4 linked regions of the Elephas maximus indicus genome follow. The protein of the gene in region 1 purifies or fractionates together with the protein of each later gene. This does not show direct contact. Links are inferred from orthologs where the notes say so. Each region holds a gene or a part of one and is shown in the gene's direction. Other genes may lie near its edges.

The links.
Region 2: the proteins of USP10 (region 1) and EIF4G1 purify together in Homo sapiens (affinity purification with mass spectrometry; 4 studies listed by BioGRID, with this or other methods). This does not show direct contact. The link is inferred for Elephas maximus indicus from reciprocal best matches to the Homo sapiens genes USP10 and EIF4G1.
Region 3: the proteins of USP10 (region 1) and SIRT6 purify together in Homo sapiens (affinity purification with western blotting; 4 studies listed by BioGRID, with this or other methods). This does not show direct contact. The link is inferred for Elephas maximus indicus from reciprocal best matches to the Homo sapiens genes USP10 and SIRT6.
Region 4: the proteins of USP10 (region 1) and PRKAA1 purify together in Homo sapiens (affinity purification with western blotting; 3 studies listed by BioGRID). This does not show direct contact. The link is inferred for Elephas maximus indicus from reciprocal best matches to the Homo sapiens genes USP10 and PRKAA1.

The regions. Positions count from the first base shown.
Region 1 is NC_064839.1:50,586,120-50,593,855, forward strand, and holds the start of USP10 (ubiquitin carboxyl-terminal hydrolase 10), read left to right. Parts: upstream 1-4,536; 5' UTR 4,537-4,603; coding exon of another isoform or gene 4,604-4,624; intron 4,625-7,736. UniProt on the Homo sapiens protein: Hydrolase that can remove conjugated ubiquitin from target proteins such as p53/TP53, RPS2/us5, RPS3/us3, RPS10/eS10, BECN1, SNX3 and CFTR.
Region 2 is NC_064819.1:30,774,494-30,782,701, reverse strand, and holds the start of EIF4G1 (eukaryotic translation initiation factor 4 gamma 1), read left to right. Parts: upstream 1-5,072; 5' UTR 5,073-5,203; intron 5,204-5,489; exon of another isoform or gene 5,490-6,073; intron 6,074-6,297; 5' UTR 6,298-6,331; coding exon 6,332-6,391; intron 6,392-6,693; coding exon 6,694-6,780; intron 6,781-7,837; coding exon 7,838-8,014; intron 8,015-8,208.
Region 3 is NC_064821.1:7,230,318-7,237,415, reverse strand, and holds the start of SIRT6 (NAD-dependent protein deacylase sirtuin-6), read left to right. Parts: upstream 1-3,968; 5' UTR 3,969-4,007; coding exon 4,008-4,073; intron 4,074-5,566; coding exon 5,567-5,694; intron 5,695-7,098. Other genes in the region: ANKRD24 (ankyrin repeat domain-containing protein 24), read right to left, coding at 458-493. UniProt on the Homo sapiens protein: NAD-dependent protein deacetylase, deacylase and mono-ADP-ribosyltransferase that plays an essential role in DNA damage repair, telomere maintenance, metabolic homeostasis, inflammation, tumorigenesis and aging.
Region 4 is NC_064820.1:46,893,728-46,901,163, reverse strand, and holds the start of PRKAA1 (5'-AMP-activated protein kinase catalytic subunit alpha-1), read left to right. Parts: upstream 1-4,353; 5' UTR 4,354-4,370; coding exon 4,371-4,497; intron 4,498-7,436. UniProt on the Homo sapiens protein: Catalytic subunit of AMP-activated protein kinase (AMPK), an energy sensor protein kinase that plays a key role in regulating cellular energy metabolism.

The DNA.
Region 1 (7,736 bases):
GCCAGGCAGCTGTCTTCCAAATTTCTTGGCATAGTCGATCGAGCACTCCCAGCACTGCATCCGTTTGCTGAAGCATCTCAATTGGTATTCCGTCAATTCCCGGAACCTTGTTTTTCGCCAGTGCCTTCAGAGCAGCTTGGACTTCTTCTTTCAGTACCGTTGGTTCCTGATCAAATGGTTGAACGTTGACCAGTTCTTTTTGGTATAGTGACCCTGTGTATTTCTTCCATCTTCTTTTGATGCTTCCTGTGTCATTTAATACTTCTCCCATTACAGATGAGGAGATTGAGGTCCAAGTTCACACAGCTAGTGGCACTCCTCTATCCTATCAGAGTTCTAGAGAAGGATTTTCCAGGACAGGCCTAATTGAAATACTCTGCCCTTTGGGCCTATGAATTAATTCCTGTTTGTCAGTAAGACCGTGTATCAATTAGGTTAGGTGGGGGATATGGACCCCCCTCCCTCCCCAGCTAGTTCAAATGCTCCTTTCTTGGGAAACTTACAGCCTCCCTGGGTAATAATAGAAATTCCTTTATTATTTGTTGAATGATAGTTAAAAAGCACCAGGCACTGTACAGCATGTGCTAGAACCATTACTTCATTTTTTCCTGGCAACATGCTTGCAACATAGGTGCTACTACTCTGTGTGCTAGTCTCCAAAAATGTACTGCCTTGTACCAACAACAATGTATTATCTTAAAGTTCTGTAGGTCAGAAGTTTTACCAAGCTAACATCAGGGTGTTGGCAGGGCTGGTTCCTTCTGGGGACTCCAGAGTAGAATCCATTTCCTTGCCTTTTCCAGCTTCTAGAGGCCACCTGCATTCCTTGGCTCCATGTCCCCTACCTTCATCTTTAAAGACAGCAGTTGCGTCTTCAAATCTCTCTCTCTGGTCTCTGCTTCAGTCCTCACATCTCCTTGTCTGACTCTCCTGCTGCCCTCTTTCCCTTATAAAGACCTTGTGATCACTTCAGACCCACCTGGATAATCCAGGACAATCTCCCATCTCAAGATCCTTAATTTAATTACATCTGCAAAGTCTCTTTTGCCATGTAAGGTAACGTATTCATAAATTCTGGGGATTAGGACAAAGACACCTTTGGGGAGGGGGCATTATTCTGCCTACCACGTCTTCCTAATGCAAAAGATTTACAGGAAGATAAAGTAACTTGCTGAAGTTCACAGGGCCAGTGAGTGGGGGAGCCAGGTTTTGAATTCAGGCCTGTCTTTTAAAAAAATTTTATTGTGGCTTTAGATGGAAGTTTACAGCAAAGATTAGTTTCTCATTTAAAAATGTATACACAGTTTGTTTTGTTACATTGGTTGCAATCCTTACAATGTGTCAGCGCTCTCCCCCTTTCTCTTTACACCCAGGGTTCCCCATGTCCATTTGTCCAGTTTTCCTGTCCCTTGCTGCCTTCTCATGTTAACATTTTTCCATATTTGCTTTCTCTCTCTCAATGTGTATTTATGTGTGTACATACAATTTTATTTTTTACTGAACCATTAAAAAATAATCTGCAGGCAAATTATGACACATTCACCCCTAAATCCTCCGCATGCATCTCCTAACAGTAAGGATATTCTCTTACATAAAAACAGTATCATTATTACTCTATGAAAATGACTAATAATTCCCTAAAATCACATATATTCAATACGTATTCAGATTCTTCAAGTGTCACTGCTCTGACAGGGATCACAATAGAGGGTCCCTGACAGAGCTGGACAAAAATGTGAAACAAAATTCTAACTCACAAAAAAAGACCAGACTTACTGGTATGACAGAGACTGCAGATACCCCAAGAGTACGGCCCCCGGATGCCCTTTTAAACCACTACTAAAGTCACTCCTTAGGCAGGTCCATAAAGCCAAATGAGAGGAAATGGGCATACCAGCCCAGGGGCAAGGACGAGAAGGCAGGAGGGGACAGCAAAACTAGTAATGGGGAACCCAAGGTCAACAAGCTGAGAGTATTGACACATCGTAGTGTTGGCAACCAATGTCACAAAACAGTGTGTATATTAACTGCTTAACGAGAAAATATTTTGCTCTGTAAACCTTCATCTAAAGCACAATGAAAAAATTTTTTTCAAGTGTCAAAAAATATTTACTAAGCTAAAAAAAAAAGCAACAACAGCAAAAAACAATGCAGTTGAAGTTCACACATTGTATTTGGTTATGTCTTTTTAGCTTTTCTAGTCTAGAACTGGAAACCCTGGTGGTGTAGTGGTTAAGTGCTATGGCTGCTAACCAAAATGTCGGCAGTTCAAATCTACCAGGTGCTCCTTGGAAACTCTATGGGGCAGTTCTACTCTGCCCTATAGGGTCACTATGAGTCGAAATTGACTCGATGGCAGTGGGTTTGGCTTTTTGGTATTCTAAAACTATCTCCTTCTCCCACACAGTTTTTTTTTTTTTCACTACACCCCATTTTCGAAGAGACCAGGCCTGCTGTCTTATGGAACATGGGAATGGATCCCATTGTTGACCTCTGCTTCTTTGCACAGGGTCTAGCAAAGTAATAGGCTCTCTGTCCATGTTTGCTAAGCAAGTGAAACCTATAATGGTTATGAATAATAATCACAGTAGCTGCTTTTTCTTGCAGGCTCACTTGGCCATTGGGCTTGTTGTTGTTAGGTGCCGTGGATTTAATTTTGATTCACAGCAACCTAGTAGGACTGCCCCATAGAGTTTTTTTTTTTTTTTTTTTTAACATTTTATTGTAGTTTGGGTGAATGTTTACCAAGCAAATTAGTTTTCCATTTAACAGTTTATACACATTTTGTTTTGTGAAATTAGTTGCAATCCCCTCAATGTGACAGCACTTCCTTCCTGGGTTCTGCGTTTCCATTTGCCTATCTTTTCTGCCCCTTTCTGCCATCTGAACTTTGTTTTTGCCAAATGCTGCCCTTTCAGTCTCCTATGGTTGACTGTCCTGAGCAGCGCGTTCCTCAAAGTTGTTACTGTTCACTTTGTAGGCCTGTCTATTGTTTGGCTGAAAGGTGGTCTCCAGGAGTGGGTTCAGTTCCAGTTTGGAAGGATGTCTAAGGGCTATAGTCTCAGGGGTTCCACCAATCTCTATGAGACCAGTAAGTTTGGTCTTTTTTATGAATTTGAATTTTGTTTTACATTTTTCTCCCGCTGTGTCCAGGACCTTTTGTTGTGATCCTGATCAGAGCGATTGGTAGTGGTAGTCAGGTACTACCTAGTTCTTCGGATCTCAGGCTAGTGGAGCCAACAGTTTGTGTGGTCCATTATTCCTTTGGGTTAATTGTTTCTTTGAGTCTTGGATTTTCTTGACTCTTCTTTCCTCCGGATGGGAAGAGACCAATAGTTGTATCTTAGGTGGCTGCTGGAAAGCTCTTAAGACCCCAGTTGCTTGCTACTCACCAAAGCAGTATGTAGAATATTGTCTTTATGGGCTGTGTTATGCTGATTGACCTAGATGTCCCCCAGACCCAGAGTTTTCTAGGCTGTAATCTTTAGGGGAGTATATCACCAGGTCTTTTTCCCACAGGGCAGTTCTAACTGCCAACTTTCAATTAGCTGCCGAATGCTTAACCATTGGGCCACCAGGGCTCCTTGGCCTTTGGGTTTATGTACACTCATTAAGTTGATCCTTACAGAAATCTTAGGAGTTAAGAAGACTTAGTTTCATTCACAGGTGAGGAAGCCAAGGCTTAGGAGAGTGAAGAAAATTGCCTGAATTCAGACAGCTAGTCAGGGGACTAACCACATCACAGCTGCACTGGCTGGTAAACTGTGGGTTCAGGTAGGGGAGCTTACAAACTGTTTCTTAAATAAATGAGTGAACAAAACAACCCCAAAGCCAGTCAGTCTGTATATATGTAATGTACATAAATGTATGCAATAAAAGAAAAAACAGGGAACATTTATTGAGTGGTTTCTATTTGGCACGCCCCATGCTAAGCGCTTTTTGGTGTATGACATTCTTTATTCTCCAATGCCTAGCAAAAGATGTGGCGCTGAGTAGGCGCACAAGCAATATTAGTGCAACGTATGGATGAACGAATAAATGAATGGATGGACTGGAATGTGATCTCCATAAATCAGGTTGTTCCTCGAGGAATTTCAGCGATCACTTCGGAGAGCCCGGCCTAGGAAAAGAGACGCTGGGGGCTCACGGGGTCAGACCGGGGTTCTGGGCCACGATGTCCCGAGTCCCGCAGGTCGGCCTCCCAGCCTGGCGGCCTCCCAGCAGGTGAGCAGCGTGGGGCCTGCCTGTCGCTTCGGCGTTGTCACCCTCATCTGCCTCCCTTTTCCCGTTTCCGCACGCAACAAAGCCCTAGCTGCCTCCTCCCGTCCGCGGCCGATCCAGCCTCCGCCGAAGGACGCCGGCTCAGAGTCCAATTCCCTGGCCTCACCGCGGCCAGAAGGTGGGCCCGGTTGGCGCACGCCCACCTGTCGGCCGCGCAGGCGCACTGCGCGCCCGCGCCGGGCCTCCCTGCCCGCGGCGCGGCGGCCAGTGCGCAGGCGCGGCGACCGATGTGAGTGTGTATGTGCGGGCGACAAGATGGCGGCGGCGGGGGAAGCAGCGTGAGAAGTCCGGAGGCGCGCCGAGTCCATTGAAACGGGCCGCCATGGCCCTCCACAGCCCGCAGGTACCCACCGGCCTGCGCGTCGGCGGGAAGGGACCTGGGTGCTCGGCGGAGAGGGCGCCGCGCGGGTGGGCGGGCGGGCAAGCGGGCGCACCCTGCCCCGGGAGCGAGCGTGTGGAGTGGGGGAGGGCGCCGGGACATGCTGCCCGGGACTAGGCCCCGAGCCTTCGCGCTCCCGCCGCCGCGCCCGCGGCCTCCCCCCGCAGCCCGCCCGCGCCCCCAGGCTCCGGGCCGGGAGAGGGGCGCAGGGGCCCGGCCGCTCCTCGGAGGGCGTAGGGCGCCGAAGGGGTTAATCTCTGGGCCCGGGCCACGGCGGGAACTGGGGTGTGGAAGGGGCCCCTCTTCGCCGAGTCAGCACGGCCTCCGGGGGAGGGGCAGCCAGAGGGCCTCCAGGGCCCCCTGGAACGACTGAGCCGTCAAGACAGCTCCATGTTGCTCCCTTTGCCCGAAACGAGCTATGAGGATTTGGGGGTAACTCTTTTCCCCCCATTCCCCAAAAGGTGGCTTTCCTCAGCTCTTTTGACGACGGGAGGTTGCAGGTTTTCGGGTTGTAAGATCCAGACACTGGGGAGCAGCCTTAGGTTACTGTTCCAAAGAAAACTCGAAATAAGTCGCAAGGACCATAGTTTAACTTGGATTTGAGTGACATCTTTGCACGAATCCATTTCAGCCAAGCTGACACTAACGTCTAAAACAACCTGGCAGAAAAGTATCCAAAGTTGAGGAGCCGTTTAAAATAATACCATAGTGGAAAGAAAGAGTAAAAAGAACCTTTCGCTTTTGGCGAGGGTGTAGAGTTGAGCTCTTATTTCCCTCCCTACCCCACCCCACCCCGAAATTATAATTACTCTGGATAAAAATCGACGTGTGGCGTTATTTTCCAAGCATGTTTTAGACCGCTGATTTGTTGCGATCAAACCTCTAGAAATTATGGGACACTTTTATACAGTCTCAATATGCTTTTGTATTAAACATGGAAAAATGAAACAAAGTAGCTGTTGGCTTTTGTTGCCGTTTTGGAAATGAAGTCGATCTGGAATAGACATCTTTTAAGATTTTAATAACTATTGCAATTACTAAGGAGCCCTGGTGGCGCAGTGGTTAAGAGCGCGGCTGCTAACCAAAAGGTGGGCGGTTTGAACCCACCAGCCAGCCCGCGGGAGAAAGATGTGGCAGTCTGCTTCTGTAAAGATACATCCTTGGGAACCCTATGGGGCAGTCCTACTCTGTCCTGTAGGGTTGCTATGAGTCGGAACCCACTCGACTGCAACGGGTTTTTTTTTTTTTTTGGTATTGAGAATTAGTGTATGTTGTGGAATTAAAAACAGGGCAACCTTATTTTTAAAAAATTTAGATCTTATAGAAAGCTGCAGTTTTGTTAAATTTTTGGTACTTTGGTCTGTGCAGTTTTCCCCTGTTAACTTTGTGTTCACTTATACATTTACTTTTATAAGTAGTACAGTTCTTTGCACATAAAAGGGGCATCACAGTTAAGTAATTTTTATGAAGGTGTAATGCAATTTTTTTCATAAGAGATTTGCATATCACATTTTTCTCAATTTAAATGTTAATATTTCTCAAACCAAATAAGAATTTCTCAGTGTAAAAGTTTACATTAAATATTACTGTAATATTATTGAATGCATACTTAATTATATTGTTATATATTAGGAAACCCTGGTGGCGTGGTGGTTAAGTGCTGTGGCTGCTAACCAAGAGGTCTGCAGTTCGAATCCGCTAGGTTCTTCTTGGAAACTATGGGGCAATTCTACTCTGTCCTGTAGGGTCACTATGAGTCGGAGTAGACTGGATGGCAGTGGTTTTTTGCTGTTGTTGTTTATATTGTACTAAATATGCATATTTTTATATTAAGTAATATTTGCGTTAAATATTAATGTAAATAGCTTATTTTTATTGTTAAGATTAGCATGAATGGGTACAAGGTTCATTGTGAACTTATGTGTAACTTGATATTCATAATGATTTTGAAATGAAGAAGGCATGTTTAGGAATACTTTACTTCCATTATTTAATAAGTACCTATCACAGTGCAGCAGAATTGATTGAAATGCTAATTAGTGCTGATAATATGTAAACTTAATTGTAATTTCACTTGCATTTACTGTCTCACAGCGGTATTTGTTTTATACCCTGATATTGCCTATACTCATCTTTAGTACGTTGGACTGGCAAAAGTTAGTTGAACATAAATGTTAGCATCACTTTGGGTTTATTCTTTTAAAGTATGATTTAAGTGCTTTTAAGTCTAGCATGAAGAACGTGGGAAGGAAATAGTTTGATTTTTCATGATACAGTGGAATCGTATGTGCCAGGATTTAATTATTGGATCTTGCTTGAGTTGGTCTGAGCATTTTAGGAAATTTGTTTTGTTCAGTTGCCTGCTGTCCTAAAGGTTCCACAGCTTTAACGGACATTCATTCATTAATTAACAAATATTGACTGAGCACTTACCATGTGCTAAGCACCATGATATGCATTTTGCTTGTTTGCTGTTGGGAATAACAACAACAAATAAATGGTACCTGTTGTCCTTGAGGCGATTGTAACTTCTAGCAACTCTATAAGACAAGTAGAACTGTCCCCTAGGGTTTCCAAGGAGCGGGTGGTGGATTTGAACTGCTGACCTTTTGGTTAGCAGATGAGCTTTAAACCACTACGCCACCAGGGCTCTAAATGAATGGTAAAGGTCCTTTTTTAAAACTGGCTTGTTAAGATTATAACTTGAATTTTTTTTTACATAGATTAGAGCTTATGTCTATATGATTAGAAAGTATTGACTGAACCCTGCTCCCTGGGTTGAAGTGCAAAACTTGGAACATTCCTAAAGCCAATAACTTTCAACATTTTCACAAGTTCTAAATGATGAACTTTGACAATTGGAGTTTAGGGAGAGCTCTAATTTATGAATATTTGTTGTCATGAGTGAACTGATTGAATGATTTGGGATCATTAATTTGAACCGACTAGCTCTGCAATATCCAGTAGAACCTGTGAAAGCCCGAACCTGTGTAAGGCAGAAACTTGTCAGAAGGAAAACTCAAATATTTTCCACTAAGTAGAGAGCGAAAGAAACTTGGTGACTGCACCCTCTCAA
Region 2 (8,208 bases), on another chromosome or scaffold:
CCAGGAGACAGAGCTGTAACACCGGAGATGGCAAGACAGCAAGAAGCAGTGGCAGAGAAACAGCAGCAGCAGAGGCAGCAGAACCAGGAGACCTACCAAGAGACAGCACAGTGGAATGAGAAAGCCAAACACCTTCCAGCAGGAGGTTTCTTGGTGGAGTTAAGAGTTTTATAACACTTGCCCAAGCAGAGCAGAAGCAGGGAGAGGCCTGCCTGTGGGCATGGCTGAGAAGAGGCTGTCTTGATTGAAGAACTGTATCCTGATCCTGAATTGTAACCTGTTACTTCCCTAATATACCTCATAACTGTAAGTATGGTCTGTGAGTTCTGTGTGGCCATTTCAATGAATTATTGAACCCAGCAGAGAAGTAGACTGTGCCATGGAAGGGACAGTTGGTGTCAGAACTGGTAAAAAGATTGAAGGGTGGAGGTGTGTTCGACCTCTGCCTCATAGGAATCAGCCTTGGGCTGTTGATCTTGAATCTCCTTCCTCTTTGTGAAGTTAGAGGAGGTCAGATGTCACCACCACACCATTTTTACTGTTGGTGTCAGAAATGGGATTTGTTGCAATGGCTCCAGACTCATGGAAGCGTGGAACTTTGTAAGAGAAAGAATGAAGGGGCATGGGAAGTGAAACTTGTGATTCTTAGGTGGTTACTTTGGTGGTTGTTACCTGTAATGACTGAAAGGAAAGAGATGTTATGCTGCAGCTGAGGGGAGAAAAGCTGCATCTGCAGTGGCCTGAGGCAAAAGCCAGTTTGATCAAATGAGATGAGGCCATATGTGTATGAATGGGAAGACAGTTAAGGTGTGAAGAAGAGAAGATGAAACTGGAATGTTTTAAAAAGTGTCACATGTTTATCTGCATGTACTCTGGATATTGAATGTTTCTCCTACTTGGTGTTGTAAAGCAGACCTAAATGTATGATGGAAGTGAACATTGGGAATTATACCTCCAGAGAGGCTCAGAGCAAGGGAATAATCTTCTGTTGATTAAATTTTTCCCATCGCCGTCAAGTCGATTCCAACTTGCATTTGAAGTATGGTGTTGGTGAAGAATATTGAATATACCATGGGCTGCCAAAAGAACAAATAAATTTGTCTTGGAAGAAATAACAGCCAAAATGCTCCTTAGAAGCAAGGATGGCAAGACTTAGTCTCACATACTTTGAATATGTTTTTAGGAAGGATCAGTCCCTGGAGAAGGACATCATGCTTGGATAAAGTAGAGAGTCAGAGAAAAAGAGGAAGACCCTCAATGAGATGGATTGACACAGTGGCTGCAAAAATGGGCTCAAGCATAGCAACAATTGTGAGGATGGCGCAGGACTGGGCAGTGTTTCCTTCTGTTGTACAGAACGGACTCGACGGCACCTAACAACAACATCAACAGTTAAATTTTATCAGAGGCTAGAAAAGATGAAGCCAAGATGGCTTTTGGAGACCTGACCAGATCAGATGGATACCTGCAGCAGACCTGAATGACTGGTACCTGAGTAACCTCACCCAGAGGCCTCTTTGCCCTACGGAAGTACTAATTGTTGATGACTGTTTTGGACTGACAAAATAATTGGAAGGGGGAGGTTACTCTCCAAGTATGAAAACTATGGCTAGAAAAGTCAGAAGGTGGCCTGCAGTGCAACTGATCACTTTTACACGGCCTTTCTCACCATAGAAACCCTGGTGGTGCAGTAGTTAAGAGCTACAGCTGGTAACCAAAATGTTGGCAGTTTGAATGCACCAGGCACTCCTTGGAAACCCTATGGGGCAGTTCTACTTTGTCCTCTAGGGTTGCTATGAGTCAGAATTGATTCTTCGGCAATGAGTTTGGTTTTGATTTCTCACCATGGTCTTGTAACTCCCACCAAATGACTGGGTGGGACTGTGCAAATAAGGTGCTTGTGGCCCACCAAGAGACCTGGACATCTTGCTAATAGTACAAATAAGTATATGGCACCCTTGTGGGGATGGGACCATGCAAATACAGTATATAGGAACCCAACAAGGGGATTGGTCAGTTTTGCCATCCTGCTAGCCTTAAAATGAGCAATCCCAGAGCACAGAGGGGGACCTGACTACCATCAAAAAGAAGAGAGGGGAGTGGAACACATCCTTTGGACCTGGGATCTCTGCGCTGAGACCCTCCTAGACCCAGAGACAGCGAAAGAGAACCGTAACACTGGAGATGGCAAGATGGTGAGAAGCAGTGGCAGAGAAATGGTGGCAGCAGAGGCAGCAGAACCAGGAAAGCTGACAGGGGACTACTTGGTGACCTACCTGGCCCATAGAGCAAGAAAGCTAAGTGCCTTCCAGCAAGAGGCTTGGTGGGGTGGGTTGCCTCTGGGCATTTATTGGTGGAGCTAAAGAGCTTTGTAACACTTGCTTGAGCGGGGCAGGGTCTAGGCTAAGGGGCCAAGGGCCAGAAAGAGGCCTGCCTGTGGGCATAGCTGAGAAGAGGTTGTCCTGATCCAAAGAAGTATATCCTGAATTACTGTTTCCTGAACTACCTGTTACTTCCCTAACAAACGCCATTACTTTGAGTATGGTCTGTGAGTTCTGTGTGGCCATTGCAATGAATTATCCAACCCAGCAGAGAAGTAGGGAGTGCTATGGGAGGGACGTTTGTCATCAGAATTGGTAAAAAGGTTGGACGGTGGAGGTGTGTTTGACCTCTGCCTCATAGGAATCAGCCTTGGGCTATTTTTGATTCTCCTTCCCCCTTGTGAAGTCAGACGCCTCTGCCATGCCATTTTTACAGATAATTTTCTTCCAAATTGGTTACTGTGTTTTAGAGTAAGAAATTTTCATAGTGGTTCTTAACCTTTCATATTCAACTGTTTGTTCAGCAACAAATATCAACAGAACCTTATTCTGCATTGAACCTTATTCTAGTTTGGAGAATGCAAAGATAGAAAAAAAGATCCAATCTTTAAAAAGCTTACACAATGGAAAAGAAGACGGATAATTACATGAAAACAATTGTGATATATTGTGATCAATACCGTACTGGGGGCGAACAAGATACCCTGGGATCATTGGGATAGGGCCTAAGTGCTTGGATGAGTGTGGTGAAATTTCTTGGAGGAAGCTGAGACTTGAAAAAAGAAGAGTCTGTCCAAGGGGAAAGAGGGTAGGAAAATATAGGTAAGCAATTAGCAAAAGCAGGAAGGAGGAAAAGCTGTATGTGTTCAGAAACCATGGATAGCTTGGTTTGGCTAAGTCTACAGGGACCAGGGAAGAGTATGGTAGCAGATACAGCTGGAGACACAGGTGTAGACCAGGTTTAGAAGAGCTTTGTCATGCCAAGAAATTGACAGTATCTCAACAGGGACCATTGTATGTCAGCAGGAAAGTGACATGATCAGCTATGTGGGTAAGAAAGCTCACCCTGGAAGCCCAGAGACTAGACAAGGGAAATGGACACCTGAATTAGGACAGTAGAAGTGGGGAGGTGGGTAGGGGTAAAAGGAAGTTTTGTTCAAAAAAGATAAAATCAATAAGACTTAGTGTTTGATTAAACGTAGTGTGTCGATGGGAAGGAGTGTAGGATGAAGCCCAGATTTTCAGGTTGGGCATTAAATTATGGCACTATTCATTGGAAAGCCGTATATGAGCATATTTGTTTGGGGTTGAGATGGGGGAGTCTGTTCACGAATTCAGGGAGAAGTGACAAATTCCTATCTGAACACACGCAATTTGAGATGCCAGTGGGACAATTAGGCAAGGACATCTTTTAGGTAGTACCTCGTTGTCACTGGAGTTTGAGCGTGGTTTCTGAGTTAGGAAGTCACTCTCATGAAGGCAGTAATTATTTGTCAGTGCATGGATGAGTCTCCTTAGGGACAAAGTAGAGAAATGAGAGAGCAGAGTCCTACATGACAACAATCACAGAGCGCAAATGAGCGTCGCGGAGAACACCAGATCCGTGTGTTTATTCTCCTCCAGGTGTCTCTTTTGGTCTTCGGAGCTGCTGCCCTACTTCTCTTAAAAGCAATGACTATTGGGTATCTTTGTGCCTAAGTATGCCCACCCTACAGCTGTACTTTCTTGATGGGGGTGATAATGGGGGCTGTTTTATGACACCCTCACCTAGCTACATCAAGTCCTGCAATATATATCAGGCTCTGCTTCCGAAAGGTCACAGTCTTGAAAACCCCGTGGAGTACAGTTCTACTCTGCACACATGAGGTTGCCATGAGTTGGTATTGATTCGATGGCAACTTTTGTTTTTATTTTGAGGTAACATATGTGCCGTGTAGATAGACCCTTTGCTAAATGTCTAGGCATTGTTTCAAACACTTTCACATGTACTAACTAATCCTCAAAATCCAATAGTGTAGATGTCATCATTGAGAGAAAGCATGGTGGTTAAAAGCTCAGACTTGATCCACACCACCTGGTTTCAAACCTCCCCATTTTACATCTTGCCCAGAGTCCTCAGGTAGTAAGCAGGTAGGTAGGTGACAGCCACGTGGTAAGTAGTGAAATCAGGATTAAAAACCAGTAAGTGAGTTGCACTCTAGGGCACTCCCGTCTGGCTTCCAAGATCTTTCTGGTGCCAGGCAGGGGTTTTGGGATTGACTCTCTGGTCATTATTCTCAGCAGTGGGTTTTTTTTGGGTTCCTTGATTAACTTTTGCCCCTCCCAGGAAGGGGTTGATCTTTGTATAAAACAAATCTACTCTTGCTAGTCTCCTAGTTAGAATGTTTCAGTCCTTTCAGGGTAACATTCAATCTCCTTTGTTAACGAGCCTTTCAAGCATCTAATCTACATTACCTCCAAAGACTGTATAATTCGCATTTCTTTGCATATTGCACCATGATTTACTTAGCTAGGACTCCTTAATTTCCATATTCTCCGCACTTCGCCTTGCAGTTAGTAGGCACCCAGTAAAGTCTCAATGGAGTAAAGGACCACCAAACAGAGACGCACAAGGCAGCTCGTCTGGAGTTCCACAGTCCGGGAGGGGACATGGGGGCGGGCTGTGGCTGTCACGTGACGGGGCGGGACAGAGCCATGTGCTCCGCGGCGCCCTGCGGCCGGGGCGAGGCTCCTCCCCCTGCGCCGGTCACGTGGGGCGCCGGCTGCGCCTGCGGAGAAGCGGTGGCCACCGAGCGGGATCTGTGCGGGGAGCCGGAAATGGTTGTGGACTACGTCTGTGCGGCTGCGTGGGGCTCGGCCGCGCGGACTGAAGGAGACTGAAGGTAAAGCCGCCATGTCCGGGCCCGACCCGGCCCCCCCACCCCCTCCCCCCGCATCCGCCGCCATCCGGGCCGGGACCGGCCGCCCTGCGCCGCCGCCCCGCCGCCCCGGCCCCGCGGCCCCAGCCCGGGCCCCGGCCCTCCAAGGCGCGATCCCCGGCCCACGTGTGCCCGGCGCGGCCCGGCCTGGCTGCTGGGCGGGGGCGAGGGGGCGCGGGGCCGGAATGTGCGCCCCCGCGGGCTGGGAGGGCGCCGGGCTCGCTGGCCGGGACGTGCCACCGCGGCCGGCCCGGGGAGGCCCCTCGGCCCGCCGGCACCGCGGCTTCTCGGCCCGGCGCCCCCTCCCCCTTCGCCGCCGGGCCGCCGGGAAGTGACACGTTGTTCTTTGGCACTGGCCGGCGCTGCGCAGGGAGGGCGCAGGCAGGGCGGCGGCGGCGGGCAGGGAGGAGCCCCCGGCCGCGCCCGCCCTCCGGGCCGACCCTCGCTTGCCTGAAACCGGCTCTTCCTCGGCCGCCGCTCGCCAGGCCTTTTAGGGCCCGGCGCCCGCCCTTCCTGGCCTCGGCTCCTGGGCGGCGGCGGGCGTCGCCTCCGGCCTGCGCGGTGCCCCCGCGGCCGCTCGCGGCAGGCGTGCCTTGTGTGTCCCCGGGCCGGGCCCCGAACCCGGTGTCCCCGGGTGGGGGGTGGGGACGCCACGGCCGAAGCGGCTAGCTCCGTTTGTGAGCCGGGAGCCTGGTGCCAGCGAGACCTGGAATTTCCGGTCTGGTTGGTCTGGGGCCCCGCGGAGCCGGGTTGATACCCCTCACCTCCCAACCCCAGGCCCTCGGATGCCCAGAACCTGTAGGCCGCACCGTGGACTTATTCTTAACCGAGGGGGTGAGTGAGAGCGCCGTTTCTGCAGGTCAGGGGGGTGGATGGCGGTGATGCGGGCTTGACAGCATGTTAGTGGGTACACACAGCCTGGGTCGTTAATGCTTCTTCACTCCCTTGGTGCCTCTGCGGCTCCGATTTGGACCCATCCCTTGCTTAACCCTTCCCCCACTCCACTTGCCTTAAACTTGGGTCTCTTCCTCTTTCCAAGCTCCACTCTTTCCCAACAGGTGTTGGGGGGACCCTGATGTGGCACCAAATGAAATGAACAAAGCGCCACAGCCCACAGGCCCCCCGCCCGCCCCATCCCCTGGACTCCCACAGGTAATTAGGGAGGGAGGCTGAGGAATTAGCAAGGACCAGAAGGGTGTAGGGAAGGCCAGGCAGCCGGTCAGGAACAGGTTCCAACCTCTGGATTTTCCCACCCCCATCTGCGTCAGGGCAAAGTGCAACGGCCTGTTGCCAAATTGAGACAGGGCCCCTGGGCTGTTCCCAGGGGCTGTCCTGGGGAGGGGGATGTGGACTGCTGAGGCCTTGCCACAGACTTACCCCTCTTACTTCACCAGCTTGGGTTTCTGCCCCACCCGGGTTTCCCCACTTGCTGAACTCTGGTCTCCCCCCTTCAGCCAGCGTTTCCCCCGGGGCAGACAGCGCCGGTGGTGTTCAGTACGCCACAAGTGACACAAATGAACACGCCTTCTCAGCCCCGCCAGGTGAGGGGCCGTGGGGAGGGGAGCAGGGGGCCTGGGTGGGGAGCTGTGGCAGTCTCGGGCCAGTTCGGGTCTCAGATGGAGACTACGGAGGCCATGTACCTGGTTCTCAGCTCCTGACACTTGCTCTGTGTTCTTCCGTGCAGCCCTGCACTTTGCGCTGTTGATTCCTTAGGTGGCTGGCCCCTTGGGGAGCGTGCAGCCGGTGGGGGTGGCGTTCCCGGGGACCTGGTGCTGCTGAGGACTGGAGGCAGTGCTTTGGGCCCTGGTGCCAACTCCTGTTTTCCTGTTTCTTTACCGGGAGGTGGACATTCCTCTTCCCTGCTTTCTCCTTGGAGCGGCCAGAGAATCACTCCAGGTGGTTCTTGCCCTCCTCTGTTCCCCAAGTTCTTCTTCGCTAAGTGGGAAGATTTTTGCTTTACTTCTTCCACATTTTCTGTTCTCATCACCTTGGGGATAATTCTCTTCTTTCCTGTCCCCATGTGCTCTCAGGGAGGATTCAGGTCTCTGCAGGTAATTCTTCTTTCCTAATCCTGGACCTCCTCCTGGCCTCACCCCACCGTACACCCAGTTAGGGGTTAGATCCAGGGACTGGGGCTCTTCATGGTGGGGACTTGGTTGTCGTCCAGGCTGTCACTGTAAGGCTGACCCATAATGCATGTCAGTGGCTAAGTTTTGCAGCGTGCGTGCATATCTGTCTGGTGATTGGGAGACTTGCATGTTAGGGGTTACCTCCTCAAGCACCTTAGGGTGGAGCGGTGCATGCTGGGGAGTGTTTGCCTGAAAGGGCCTTCCTTCAGCGTGTGGCATCTGGGTGTTAGGAAGCTTCTGCAGAGCACTAGTCTGGTGGAGGTTACGTGAGTGTGCATGGCAGTGAGAGGGTAAACACGTACAGAGTGCAAAGCCTGTATCTGAACACAGAGGACATGTGTGAGTACAGGGGGCCAAGTGGGTCTTGGAGAGTTGGATCGCTGTACTCTGGCGCCCCCAGGGCTCCTCTCCAGCCTGCAGTCCACTTCCTCCCCTTCCCTATGCCAACGGCCTTCCTCCCTCCTGACAGCACTTCTACACTAGCCGGGCCCAGCCCCCGAGCAGTGCCGCCTCCCGAGTGCCCAGCGCAGCCCCTGCCCGCCCTGGCCCAGCTGCCCATGTCTACCCTGCTGGATCCCAAGTCATGATGATCCCCTCCCAGATCTCCTACCCAGCTTCCCAGGGGGCCTACTACATCCCTGGACAGGTGAGGCTGGAGGCTTGGGAGCTGGAAGCCATAGGGCCTTGTCCTCCCAGTCCTCGCCCCCGCCCCTACCCTGACTCTCCTGTCCCATCTCTTCTCTAGAGGTGGGGCTTCCTTTGGTCATTGACCAGAGTCAGCTTGTCCTGTCCTGCCCTACGTTCTCTTTGTAGGCTCATGGGGTGCCTATAGCTCCCTAA
Region 3 (7,098 bases), on another chromosome or scaffold:
TACAAATATTTACTGAAGAAACACACAAACACAGAAGACTGGAGTTGCTGAGAAAGTAGGTGCCCAGAAAAGCCAGCGGCCACTGTAGCTGGGGAGGGTAGAGATTTCCTGGAGGAAGTGGCAATGGAGACAGATTGGGAGAGGTGTGGAGGATTTCATAAGTAGCAATGCAGGGAGTGTTCCAGGCAGAGGGCACCGCCTGGGCAAAGGAATCGTGGGTGGAAAGCTTATAGAGGCAGCAGTGGGGGAGATACGGGCAGCAGGGGGCAGCAGAGAGCAAAAGGAGGCAAGGTGGGCGGAGGCTGAATGGCTTGGCCTTGAACCTGTGTGTGGGGAGGGACCATTGTAGGGTTTTGAGCAGGGAATTCTGAGCAGTTTTCTGATGAGGGGTGGATCCCAGCAGATCTTTGGCCAGGCCCTGGGGTTGCATTAGGCATTTCAGTAGCATGAGACTAACCTCTGTCTTCTTAAACCGTGCCCGGAGAGTCTTCATGGCCAGCGTCCGGCGTTTCTCCTCGCCCCAGGCCACCTGGGAAAGGCCAGAGAGATTGGGGAGTGAGGGACCCAGTCCTGGAGGACGGGAGGGTCTGGCTGCCTCCCTCTGCTCCAAAGGACCACTTCCTCCTTCATGGGCAGCCGCAGCCCCTAGAACAGGACCAGTGATCCACCTCCTATTTACTGTGTGTCCTTGGGTAGACCGCTCGCCTTCTCTGTTTCACGTTCCTCATCTATAAACTGGGGTAGATAGCCCCCTCTTGATGGAGCCCTTGTGGCATAAATAGCTAAGTGTTTGGCCGCTAACAGAAAGGGTGGTGGTGCGAACCCAGTGACTCCACGGGAGATCTGCTCCTGCAAAGATTACAGCCAAGGAAACCCTATGAGGCAGGTCTACTCTGTCACGTGGAGTCACTATGGAATTGACTCAATGGCAGCCAGCAACAGCAATCCCCTCTCAACTGACTCACGGTCAATTGTCATTTAGGTTTCTAGCACAGAGCCTGGTATACTGTAGGAGCTCAATAAATGCACCTCACCTGGTCCCTACGATTTAGCCTTAGCAGGTGGTCCCTTCCTCTCCCACAGCCACTCCTGGAGACACTCTTCCCCAACTCCAGCTGCTGGTATTTCCTATTATCCAAGCCGATCAAGCTTTTCCCAGTCTCCAAGCTTTTCTCTTTGCTGTTACCTCGGCCTAGAATGCCTTTTTGTTGTCTTTCCCTGGTGAACTCCTACTCAGTCCCAAAATAACATATTCTGATCAGCCTTGCCTCTTGCCTGAAGGTTGAGTCCTAACTCCTCAGATTGGACTACCCCAGCCCTGGCTCCACAGGCTGGGAGTATCTGGACCAGTTCTGTCTTCCTCAACAGTTAGGGGTTCCTTGGGGGCCAGGCCCAGTCTGAGGTTTGTCTGCATAGAGGCACATTTCTTGGATAGTCAGAGAGAGCAACCTTGCAGCTAAGTCCCCATACACAAGCCTGGCCTCTGCATGGTGAGGGCGTGGAGACAGGTCACCCAGGGTGGTGGAGGTCTGGGGTGATGGCTGCACGTGTGTGGATGCACACGGGAGTATGACGTGTGTACATACAGGCACGTCTGTCCACCTTGCCTGTTACATGCATGTGTGTGCATGCAGGTCAGGATGTTTTGAGGGGCTGTTTTGCAAGGTGTGTGACTGGGGTCTCTATGTGTGAGCAGGATCTCGGTGAAAGTGTAGCTTTATTTGTCTGCCTTTGGCGGTGGGGGGGTGGGATGGCCTGTCCCCCTGCCTGTGAATTCTGAAAGCCATCGTCCACCCATCCACTCACCTGTGCACACATCCTCCTACTCGAGCACGGTACATCCACCCAGTAGCCACCATCCACCAACTAATCCACCCATTCACCCATCCATCTACCCAGTCACTCATCCATCAACCCACCCATCCATCTGCCCACCCACCCAACTTACTACAGCCATGGACCTTACTACATCTGCCCACCCATCCAGTCACCCACCCATCTGTCCACCCCACCCATCCATCCACCACTCTTCAACTCAACCACTCATTGACCTTCCCATCCACCCTCCCACCTACCCACTCACCCATCCACCCACCCACTCATCCATCCGCCCATCCTTCTTCTACCATCTACCCATCCATCCTTCTACCCACCCCCTAAACCCAACCATCCATCTACCCTCCCACTCATTCATCTATGGCCCATCCATTCATTCCCCATCCACCAATTAATGTACCTCCGCCCCCACCCTTTTTTTTACTCCCTAATAAAAGGCAATGGTTTTTTTTTGCTTTTGTTTTAAATAAAGGTCTCAATCACACTCAACCAACCAAATCAAACTCATGGCCGTAGAGTTGACTCTGACTCATGGCGACCCTATAGGACAGAGAACTGCCCCATAGGGTTTCCAAGGAATGGCTGGTGGATTCGAACTGCCAACCGTTTGGATAGCAGCCGAGCTCTTAATCACTGTGTCAAGTCACACTCAAAGCAGAGTGTAATAAGACACCCAGGAGAGGACTCCACAGGTTGCCCGGAGCTGGAGGGAAGCAGTGGGCTCAGTGGGAGGAATCCCCTCACCTAAGGATTTGCTTCCTGAAAGAGGTGATAAAGTATAAGCTGGGCCTGATGGCCCGGCCAGATATTAGACAGCAGCAGCAGCAGGAAAGGAGGATGTCCCCGGCAGGGCACAGGCTGGAGGGGACAGTGTATGCATGAAGGAGCGTATCCGTGTGCCTGGAGCCTGGGTAGCTCCTGACCCTGGCTGGGACACACCACCAGCCTATCCTCTCTCTTACAGAGGGCAAGGAGCCCTGAGCCCTGAGGGGAGCCTCCATCCCAGGCCTCTCTCACCCCTTTCCTCTCCTACCTCCTGCAGCTCCAGTGCCCCAGCACCAGGCCACCGTGCAGGCTGCCGGCTCCAGTTGCCCACTCCCAGCCGGGCTGTGAGCTCACACCAGCCGCTCTGGGCACTAAGCTCTGACACTTGATCAGCTCTGAGCAGGCAGCTGCCCCAGGGGGCCGGGGATGAGCTGAGGGAGGAGACAGGCTGGCAGCGGGGCTGCCCGTTGATCGACGGGCTCTGGCGGGAAGATGCTCTCCTCCCATCATCACTGGACTGATTTCAGTTTCTGGAACCAGCCATGATCTTGCTGTCTTCCCAGCCTTTGCACTTGTCAGGAGTCCTCTGCCAGGAGTCCACTTTCTGAACCCCACGTCACCCCGAACTGGCTCACTCACTCCACCTCACGCTACTCACTCTTGAGGTCTTTGCTGCAACGTCATTCCCCTTCCAGGAAGCCCTCCCGGGACGCCCCCAGGCTGGGTGAAGTGCCACCTCCGAGCTCCTTCATTGCTCTGTGCCCTCGTCGTTCCCCGTAGCACCTCAACCACACTGTGACACCTTTGACTGGCCAGATGCTTGCGTCCATCACTAACAACGAGTAGGGAATCGTGTCTTCTTTGTTCTCCAGGGTCTGCCCAGAACACAGTAGGTGCTCAACATGGTACTCAAGGCCACCAGCCTCAACAACCTTGTGCAGTTTCACTCTCCTACCCTGCGTTTTGTAACTTTATAAACTTCTGAAATGTGCAGAAGAAAGATCCTTGGTGTAGAGAAGCAGGAGTCCTGGGTCCCTGCCCTCCTGGCTATGTCCTTACTGGGGGTGACAGGGACATCAGTTTACTCATTTATAAAACAAGGGAATGGGGTACTGATCGCTTATGCACTTCATTCTAGAAGAAACTGCAGAACTCTCACGTGAGCTGCCGCCCCAATCTTCGCAGCCCCTTAACCACCCCTGCGAGTTTGGACAGGGAACCGGGAATTCCTTCTGCCAGCAGTTAAGATGGCGCCTGCAGCCTCACGAACACGCGCATGCGCCTTGGAGGAAGACGCCGGGCCCGTAGAAAAAGAGCGCTGCCCCTCCTTCCGCCCCGCCCGCCCCATTTCCGGCGGAAGCGGCCTCAACAAGGGAAACTTTATTGTTCCCGTTGGATGAGCGAGGATGTCGGTGAATTACGCGGCGGGGCTGTCGCCGTATGCTGACAAGGGCAAATGCGGCCTCCCCGAGGTGAGCGCGGCCTGGGGCCCCGAAGTGCGCCCCCAGGGTCGCGGGCTGGGAGGGGCTGGCCAGCAGCGGGGCATTGTGGGAGTATCAGGAGGCACTGAGGTTAGACAATGGGAGGGACTTCCCAGTGAGGAGGGGGCGGGAAGTGACGACCCCTGCGCGCCCGGGGACACGAACACGCCCAGCTCTGGGTGGGCCAGGCTGGGACTGAGGTCGGGGAAGGCCTGAAGGCTGGTGGTGGAGGAGGGCACGCAGTTCTAGGCGGAGGGCACGTAGTTCCAGGGGGAGGGAATAGCCAGGGCGAAGGCAGGAATGTGGGATAAACACACTTGGAGAACAGAGTAGGGCAAAGAGATCTTCAGAGGCCGGCCAGGACGGGCCTCAAATGGCAGGCTGGGAAGTGTGATGGGGAAGGGTTTTGAGCTGGGGAGGTACCGACCGGGACAGATTGAGGAGGGTCCGAAAGATCCCTCCAGCCACTCTGGGAGGAAATGGAGTAACAGTCTGTGCCCACCACCTACTGAGGGACCTTAGGCGGGTCTCTTCCCTTATGGGCTTCCATCTCCCCTTCTGTAAGCTGAAGGACAACATGGTTCCCATCTCATAAAGGCTGGCCCATTCTTTTCTAATCATACGTTTAATAAACTCTCAGATGGTGTGAATCCCTTCCATTATTCATCTTATTCCACAAACATTTATTGTGCACCTACTGTGTACCAGAAGTCCCTGGGTGGTGCAAACTGTGAACATGCTCAGCTGCTCCCAAAAGATTAAAGGTTCGAGTCCACCCAGAGGCACCTCGGAAGAAAGGTCTGGTGACCTACTTCCAAAAAATAAGCCATCGAAAACCCTGTGGGGGCACAGTTTTACACTGATACACATGGGTCACCCTAAGTTGGAGTCGACTTGATGGCAACTGTGTACTAAGCACTTTGTAGGACACAGGACAGACAAAACCCTCTCATTCTACTGGGGGACACCGACAAGAAACAAATGAACGTAATAAGTCAGGTGGTGCTAAGAGCTATGGAGAAAAATTAATCTGGGAGAGCTGGGGGTGGAGGGAAAGGCGGCATTGAAACTGGGTAACCAGGGAGGCCTCATTGAGATGACATTTGAGCCAACACCTCAAGGAGGTGAGGGAGTGGTTGGCGTGATGATCTGAGGGAAGAGCACTCCAGGCAGAGGGAACAGCCTGGGCAAAGACCCTGAGGCAGGACCGTGCCTGGTGAGTTGGCCCTTGTGGCTGGAGCGGGATGAGTGAAGGGGAGAGCCGAGGAGGAGGGGAGGGCAGGGCGGGGACAGGGCAGGGAGGACTTTTACGGAATAAGGTGGGAGCCATGGTGGGCTACAGGCAGAGGAGGGACGCCAAGACAAGCTGTGCTTTCCAACCCTGTCTCCTCCCCCTGAGCATAGCACGTCAGTCCATCTGTGGCTCTTGGTCTCCATGCTTGTAGGGCGCGTTCCGACCCCACCCTCCCATTCTCTCCCAACAGATCTTCGACCCCCCAGAGGAGCTGGAGCGGAAGGTGTGGGCGCTGGCCCAGCTGCTCTGGGAGGCCTCCAATGTGGTCTTCCACACAGGCGCCGGCATCAGCACCTCCTCCGGTATCCCCGACTTCAGGTCTGTGTTCGGAGAGGGGAGGTTGAGGCAGGGCCCGCCACGGGCTTCCCTGTCAGCTCATAGATGCCTGGGCACCTGGACCCATCCCACTGATTGTCCCCTTCCTGGGTCCTGGGCCATCTGTCCCTGGGATGTTGGCAGGGTGTTGAGAGGTTGCCCTCTCCCTTTCGGACTTACCCTTTAAGTCAGGCCCAACATTCCACTTATACTTCATTGGCCGGATCTTGGCCACCTAACATTAGCCGCAAGGAATGCTGGGAAATGTAGTCTTTAGCCACCCATGTGGGGGCCAGCACTCGGCTGCTAACCAGAGGAAAGGTCCTGATTTGAACCCACCAGAGGCTCTGGGGGAGAAAAGACTTGGTGACCTGCTCCTCTAAAGATTACAGCCAAGAAAACCCTATGGGGAAGTCCTGTTGTCATCTAGGGTCACTATGAGTTGGAATCAACTTGATGGCACCCAACAATGTTACCATAGAGGAATCTTTGGGTGGCGCCTACAGTTACTGTGCTCAGCTGCTAACTGAAAGGTTTGCAGTTCAACTCCACCCAGAGGTGCCTTGGAAGAAAGGCCTGGCAATCTACTGAAAAATCAGCCACTGAAAACCCTATGGACAACTCGTACAGAAACTTAAATGGGAGCCTAAACTGCTGTGAAAACACAATAAAATATTATTTTTAAAAAAGCCCTATGGAACACAGTTCTCCTCTGACACACATGGGGTCACCATGGGTTACAGTCAACTCAAAGGCAACTGGTTTTATTGTCATAGAAGATGGGGGAGAATTGACATCAGGGAACAATTATCTACACACGCTTGCAGGTATTTTCTCATAGCACCTGGTGTTACTGGGTAACCTCGGACAAGTGGCCTAACCCTTCTGGGCTGCGGTTTCCTCATCCATAAGTGAGGGTGTGAGACCAGATGATGTCTCAACTCCCCTCTGCTTCAGGCAGCCTGTGTTAGACAAGAATCTTGCTGCTGAAAAGCGGGGATCTCCAACTGGCGGCCCCTGTAGATGCTGAGTTTGCAACCCCTCTCCAAACAAACAAACAAAAAAAACAGAACCAAATTCATTGTCGATTTCGACTCAGTGACCCTACAGGACAAAGTAGAACTGCCTTGCAGGGTTTCCATGACTAACCTTTATGGAAGCAGGCCACCACATCTTTCTCCCACAGAGCAGCTGGTGAGTTTGAACCACTGACCTTTTGGTTAGCAGCTGAGCACTTTAACCACTATGCCAGTGGGCCTGTTGCATTATTCCAAAGAGTGAATCTGCTTGTGCCCTTCCCTTGCTCCAAAACCTACCATGGCTCCCCCCTGCTGCCCAGTAGTGTCCCCAACTCCTCCAGCTGGGAGTCAAAGCCCTTCCGGACCCAGCCTTGGGTCATCTCTCCAA
Region 4 (7,436 bases), on another chromosome or scaffold:
GTCCTCTTCACTTTTAGCAAGCAAGGTTGTATCATCTGCATAATGCAGGTTGTTAATGAGTCTCCCTCCAATCTTCATGCTGAGTTCTTCTTCGTATAGCGTAGCATTTCAGATTATTTGCTCAGCGTAAAGATTGAATAAGCATTGTGAAAGGATACAACCCTGGGGGTAGTATACCCAGTTAGCACCCTGGTATTTGTTTCCAATATGATTTTCCAATAAAAAGAACCAAAGCTTCTTGGAGAAATGACTGATTGTAGGATTGAATCATGAAATCTGCAAAATGAATCTCAAACATTTTGCAATGCTAGAAAGTAAGAAAGTGCTTTTTCTCTCTGCATCTGGATCCCACATCCATTTCTTGATCATCTGGCCTCTGGTTTTAGGGACTTGAGCCAGAGGGCTGCCATCTGACCTGCCAATTCTGAGATTTGCAGGCCTCCACAGGCCCATGAACTGGTTTGCCTACTGTCTGATCTGATTTGCCAGCTTCTGCAGCCTTGTGAGCCAGCAGCCTGTGGTCTAACCTGCCAGTTTGGGTTTGTCAGCCCCTGCAGCCACGTGCAGCCATGTGGGTCAGCAGAAGCCTAAGCCTGACCCCCGGATTTGGGACTTGCCAGCCTTCACAACTGCGTGAGCCATTTACTTGGTACAGTTCCAGAGTTCTGTGAGACCTTGCAGTTAATTACGGAACCCAAAGATGGGAGGGAGAATACTGAGTGGAGAGGGAGTAGTTGATGTTTGAGATGATGGAGTGGTACAGCAGTTTGGAAAAGCTGGACATTTGGGACATCTTCAACCTTCACCTCATAGGAACCAGCTTTGTGCTGATCCTTATAAAAGACATTACTCATTTAATATCTCTAGCTGGCCTTTCTTTGGAGCTACAGACCTGTATTATCAGCATTACCATGAATATCTTTATCTGAGTGTCTGTTAGATGTTTCAATGTTACAAGTAGAACTCATTATTTCTGTTGAACCCCCGTTCACCATCCTCCAAAAAGTCCTGTCTGCTTCTGAGCAGTTCCTTGTGTAGATCAATGGCACCATCATTTATTCAGGTTCCCAAACCAGAAACCTGGAAGGTAATTAAGATTCCTTCCCAACCCCCTCTCTCCAGATCAATCTGTGTGTCTTGGTAATTCTACCTTTTTTAATAGGTCTTCCGTTTACTTCTCCTCTTCATACATGATGCCTCCCTCATCATTTCTTAATGAGATGATTGCCAGTCTCTTGTTTTAGCCCACTTTGGTCTTGCCTTTCTCCAAGCATCTTCCATACTAATGTTGGAGTCTTTGTTATTTTTTCTAATAGTTACTTTTTTTGACTGTAATACAGGCATAACCAGTCAGTGTATAGGAGAAAGATGTGGCAGTCTGCTTTTGTAAAGATTACAGCTTTAGATACCCTTATGGAGCAGTTCTACTCTGTCCTGTAGGGTTGCTATGAGTTGGAATCAACTTCATGGCAATGGGTTTGGTTTTTGGCTTGAAAACAATGTCATTCAAAAAATATTGAGTATTAATTACAACATAACTATGACAAAGCTAAAGAAATATTTGTGTGTTAATATTAATAGTGTAGTACTCAGAAATTTTCAGTCCTGGCTGCCATATTTGGAGATAGTCATTGAGGAAGTGGAATGTCCACTTGGATAGTGTAGGGTCCAGTAATGCGGTGATAGCCTTAAGAAAAGACTTAAGAGGAGACACAGCTACCTTAGAATCTCTAACGGGCTAGAGCAGAAGGAGCATGAAAACTAAATACCCAGCTTCTCCACGAGACCCATGGTGCTGGGCCATCCCGGTATGTCTTCATCAACACTGGGATGTACTGTAACTTACTTCTACCAATAAAAGCTGAAGTACTGAAGCTTGAAAACAATTTACTTTCCACTCCCTTCTCCCCTTTAAAGTGAAGTGATTTCAAGGCTACTTCTATAATATCACTTCTGTTCACTTATATTCCAGTAATATATAATCCAGGAAACTGGGTATAAACCACAGTCTACCTTATCTACGCTTCCACTTTAGAAGAATGTTGAGCCTGTGGACATTATCTATCCTGGGTGTTGGGGGCAAATAAGAAGAACTGCCATCGCAGGGACCATAACTTTTCATTTTGTATCTCTCCCCAGGGTCTAGAAGTTAACAAATGCTTGAAGAAAAAAAGGAAGTGAAGGTTTGAAGGCAGATCAATGGGGGTATGAAAGGAAGAGAGGATGGAAGGAAGTGTGACAGAAATTTAAATAAAGAGGAATGAAGAGAAAAAGAAAAGAATGAAGTAAAGAGGCTTGTTATTTACTTTCTCAGAAACTGGCAGGTGTTAACTGGAATCAGGTTTTAACTCAACACACACAAACAACAACAAAAACAAACCCCCAGCAATTAAAGCTGCTTAAACAGAGACTATGGGAGACAGGACAAGATGACTTCTAAGTTCCTATGCAATTCTTTGTTCCAAGATTCTAGGTTTTGTTTCCCTAACAAAGCTTTTGAGTGAAAGGGACATTTATGGAATATTTATTAAATAGAATTATAATAAAAATAATATCAGAGCAGAAAACAACTGATATTTCTGCTAAAAATGTTTATATTTCTTTCTTAAGTGAGTCTTCCTAGCTTCATGAAGAGACTGGCAAATGGATTTGCAAAATTCTGTGATCAGTGGCTTAATTGGCACTGGACAGATGGAGGCATCTTGCAATTTTTTTTTCTTTTATGTTAAAAGAAATAATAGAACATTCCTGGGCAGAATTCTAGACTTGATGCAAATTTAAAGCAATTTAAGAAGTTATTTCTGGGGGGAAAAGTTAAAAAATATATATATTTTTTCTAAGAGAATCCAGAGAGCTGTGTATACTTGTAGAGGTCCGAAAAATCTGAACTGCAGAAACTCACAAGGCAAAGAGCTGAAGCCAGAGAGCAAAAGTTACCACAGTAACCCCTGCCCTGCCCCCCAAGTATCTCAGATTTCTTAATTAACTTTCTGGCCCTTCAAAATATACACAGTCCATACTACAGTAGGAACTTGATAATCCGGACAAGTCTAGTTAGAATTGCTCTCTTCTTATTTGGTGTATGTCTATAGGGTCGCTATGAGTCGGAATCGACTCGACCGCACTGGGTTTGGTTTGGTTTTTTTTGGTCTAAGCTCAAAGGCAGGGACTTTTTCTTTCTCTGCAGTACCCTGCTTAGTACAAAGCAGTGCTTAATGTAAGTTACTTTGATTTCATAAACGGAAAGTATATGACAATCAGGAGGGTTAGGCAACTGACTTTCACTGGGAAAAACATGGCATCATTTTAGTCTTATTTTCAGTGCCCATTGACACTAGTCCAAATGCTATGACACTGCCAAACTGAGAGCATTTCCACTGCTTTCTGGATGAGACGCTGGGTTTTTTCCACTGTTAGAGGACAACCACTTAAATTTCTATTACAAATAGGCACACTTTCCTTCCTTCCCTCTGTGATATAGCATAATCCCATTTGTATCGATAATAGACTAAGTCTTACTCATTCCAAGTACACTAAATAAATGTCTGGTTGATGTAAGCCTTGTTTTCGATCCGGTGAAATTCTACATTTTACTAATAATCTAACAATATAAGTTCCTATACATCGAAGGGTCTGAGCAATCTCCCACTCCCCCCTCAAACACACACACATTCCCAGCCTGCATCCTGCAACGGGGAAGGAAATTTCAGACCGACAATTATAGTTTTCGAGATACTCAAAGAGTAACTTAAGGCTCAAAGTGAAAAAAGAGCAGCGAGAAAGAAACTCCATCAAAGGTGCAAGAGTAAACTCCCTGTGGCTTCTAGATTGCACCCAAGAGGGAAAAACGAGAACCAAGGTTAGAAATACAGCGTCAGCGCGGCGACTCAGTCCTGTTTCAATTCTCGGTGCACTAGTAACAGACCACACATCTGTATTATCCGAGCAGGATTCCCCAGCGCCCGCCTACCCCCTTGGAATCAGATTCCCCGGGTGGAATTATATCGGGACCCAGGAGTGGGAATCGGGAGCGTCCACTGAGAACAGAGACTTCCGCAGAGGGGAAAGGAGCCTGGGGGCTGTCGCTCTTCTCAGCGCCCCAGGAAGCCTCTCCTACAGGCAGGCAGGCGGGCGCCCGGAGCCGGAGAGGTGCGGGCGAGGAAAGGGGCTCCCGGCTCCCTCCCAGCGACCCCCGTCCGCCCGCCAGGGGGAGCGTCTGCGCCCGCCGGCTGGCTGCGGAGAAGGGGCGGCGGTGCAGGGCGGCGGTGCAGGGCGGCGATCGGCTCCGGGCGGCCCGCCCGCGTCCCCACCCTCCCGCCGCCCGCCCCCGGCGCGGCCCTGCCCGCCCCCTCCGCCCCCTCCCGGGCGCCATGCGCAGACTCAGTTCCTGGAGAAAGATGGCGACAGCCGAGAAGCAGAAACACGACGGGCGGGTGAAGATCGGCCACTACATCCTGGGGGATACGCTGGGGGTCGGCACCTTCGGCAAAGTGAAGGGTGAGGACCCCGGGGCAAGGCCGCGTCCTGGCCCGGGACCCAGGCGATTTCCGCTTTCCGCACCTCTTCATCCTCCGCCCTGCGCTCCTCGTCTCCCGGCTGGGCAGCCTCTGCCCACGCTTCGGCCATGCGGGGCCCGAGCCCGCCGCGGGACTGCAGCACGGCAACCCCCGGCGCCTGGGGATGGGGCGGGGACCGGTCGCCATGGCGACGGCGCTGCGGCCCGAGGGGCTCGTCCGGGCGAGGGGCGGAGATGCCGAGGGGCGAACTTTTCCCGGCGGTGGAGTCTGGTTGCTGCGCGGCTTCTGGGAGGGGGCCCCGGGGGTCCCTCGGCGGGGAGCCCTGAGAGGTGGCCTCCTGTGCGGCCCAAGTTGAGCTTCCCTGGCGCAGGGTCAGTCCATCGCTCCTCTGGCGGTCTTCGGCATTGTCGGCTTTGGTTAAGAGGCTCTGCTGATTCCCGAGTGTGAAATGTGTGTCCCGAAAAGTAAGGTTGCTTTGGGGTAACCTACAGAATTAAAAAAAAAAAAATCTATATCATCTCGTCGGAAAGGATAACAGATTTCCTTTGGAGCAGTTAGTGAATATAAACTGGTCCTATATTTGCGATGTATGATTTACTTCCAGACGGCCGACTCTGTTGTGCCTTCAGTGTTTGGGTTATCGGGAGTTTTGCATCCCGTGTGCCGAATCAGGTAGCTGGTGCAGATGTTGCCTCCGGGTAGTATTTATTAGTTCATTTATACAGTTGGTTTCCATTTATTTTTAAAGGATGATATTTATATTTTAAAAAGTCTTAATGCATGTCATTTGGCCTTTTTTTTTTTTTAAAGCGTGGACTCGCTTAGCACTTGTGTTTCAACAGTATTTTGAAATAACGAACTTGCTCTCTACTAATTCTGACAAAAAAAGTGTAATTGCAAAATTTAGGAGGCATAAATGTTTTTTTACTTAAAATACTTGTATTAGTGATACAGATGAAAGAAGTGTGGAACTAATAAAAATAATATCCATTAGTTTGGATGAATAATAGACTACTACTTGCATATACAAGCAAATACTTGAAAGAAAAAAAGTTTGTGGAAGTCTGCCCAGTGAATTAACTGAGCCTTGCTCTCCCACAGCTAAATAGACATTTTCTGATTTTACCTAGGGATGGCAGAGGAGAACCCTTCTTTCTTTTCCCCTTTCTGAGTCACACCAAAAAACCAAACCGGTCGAGTCAGTTCCAACTCAGAGTGACCCTATAAAGGACAGAGTAAAACTGCCCCATAGAGTTTCCAGTGAGCGCCTCGCAGATTTGAACTGCCGACCTTTTGATTAGCAGCAGTAGCACTTAACCGCTATGCCACCAGGGTTCTGAGTCATAGAACTGGAAAATTGCTGTGTAGCCCAGAGGGAAGCAACTGCCTAAAACTTCTTATGAAAATCAGCAAGGCCAACAATGTAAGGAAGTAAGCAAATGCCAGAATAGGGTAATAACAGCCATCAGAGGGTGTGTGTGTTGGTCCAGTAATATGTTTCTGTGCCCTCAAAGTCATTTTTGGCTCTGCTATCTCTTGTTAGGAATTACAACCTGCTTTTTAGTTTACTAGTGTTTATGAGAAATGTCCATTAATGCCCCGCAAAGAATGACAAGCCAATCTTGGATTAGGGTGCTCATTATTCTTCTAATACAGGCCTAGCAGAGGCAGGTTTCATCTTCCTACTTGCTAAGTCATTTTTGGCATGGCAGATAGGAAGTCAAGAAGAGATTTTTCATTTTCTGAATTTGACCTGTGTGGCTGGGACATGAATCTCTTGTGACTCTGGTGTCCCCTAGTCTTTACTTCTCCACCTGTGTCCCTCTTGAAGTACCATTTTTTTTGCCAAAATCAACAACGTCCTCAAATACAGAAAGGCCAGTATTGGTCATAGGACAGGTTTTGTGGATATGGTTAGATTTGTTTAAAAATACATTAGATAACGTTGATCAGAATTCTCAGTATGTTTTAAAGTTGCCAAACAAGATGCTTTTGGCCACAATAGAAAATCCATCTCAACCTGGTGAAAAACATCTCTTTGAGTAGTGGTTCTCTCTCCAGAGCAAGAAAGCCCAAGATACCTCTCGTGAGTCTCATTGGCAAAGGATGCCATATGCCAGTTGGTTTAGGCTTGTCTTCTTAAGTAGACATTGGCAAGAGGAGCAGCGTTACCTTTGGAGTAATATGGCCCACCCTTGGATGTACATTTGGGGAGCATCTCATGAGAACATGGGGAAGGTATCTGTACAGAAATGGGGTATTTGCTAGAAGGAAAGAGGGACATGGATGCATGAGAGCAGGAAGAAAAATAACTATTATAGTTGTAACATTGGTAATTTAAACCAACCTTAATTTGACAGGAATTCTTATAATAGGTTTAGCCATTTGTGTCAGTGGAGACAAATTGGAGTAGAGCTTTTAAAATTAGATATAAACATTGGCAAATTTACCATAGAGAAGGAATCTAGTAGGAGATGTGATATTGAAAGGTGGAAAAACTCCTAATATGATATTCCATGCTTAAATTTAATTTTTTGAGGGAGGGAGGCATTGTAAATTCATAGTGATTTTTTTTTTTTTTCGAGGAGCCCTGGTGGCTCAATGGTTAAAACGTTTGGCTGCTAACCAAAAGGTTGGAGGTTGGAACCCGCCAGCCGCTCAGTGGGAGAAAGATGTGGCAATCAGCTTCCAAAAAGATTTTCAGCCTTGGAAACCCTGTGGGACAGTTCTTCTCTGTCCCATAGAGTTGCTGTGAGTCGGGGTTGACTCCGTGGCAATGGGTTTAGTTTTGTTTTTTTAATTTCGTTTTCTATTATAGGCTAAAAAAATCTTTGGTAATTTAATGGCAGCATTTTGAAGGGAAAGTTTAAACAGAAAACTAGGGTTAGTTTGGGATTATGCTTGAAATATCTTTATTAT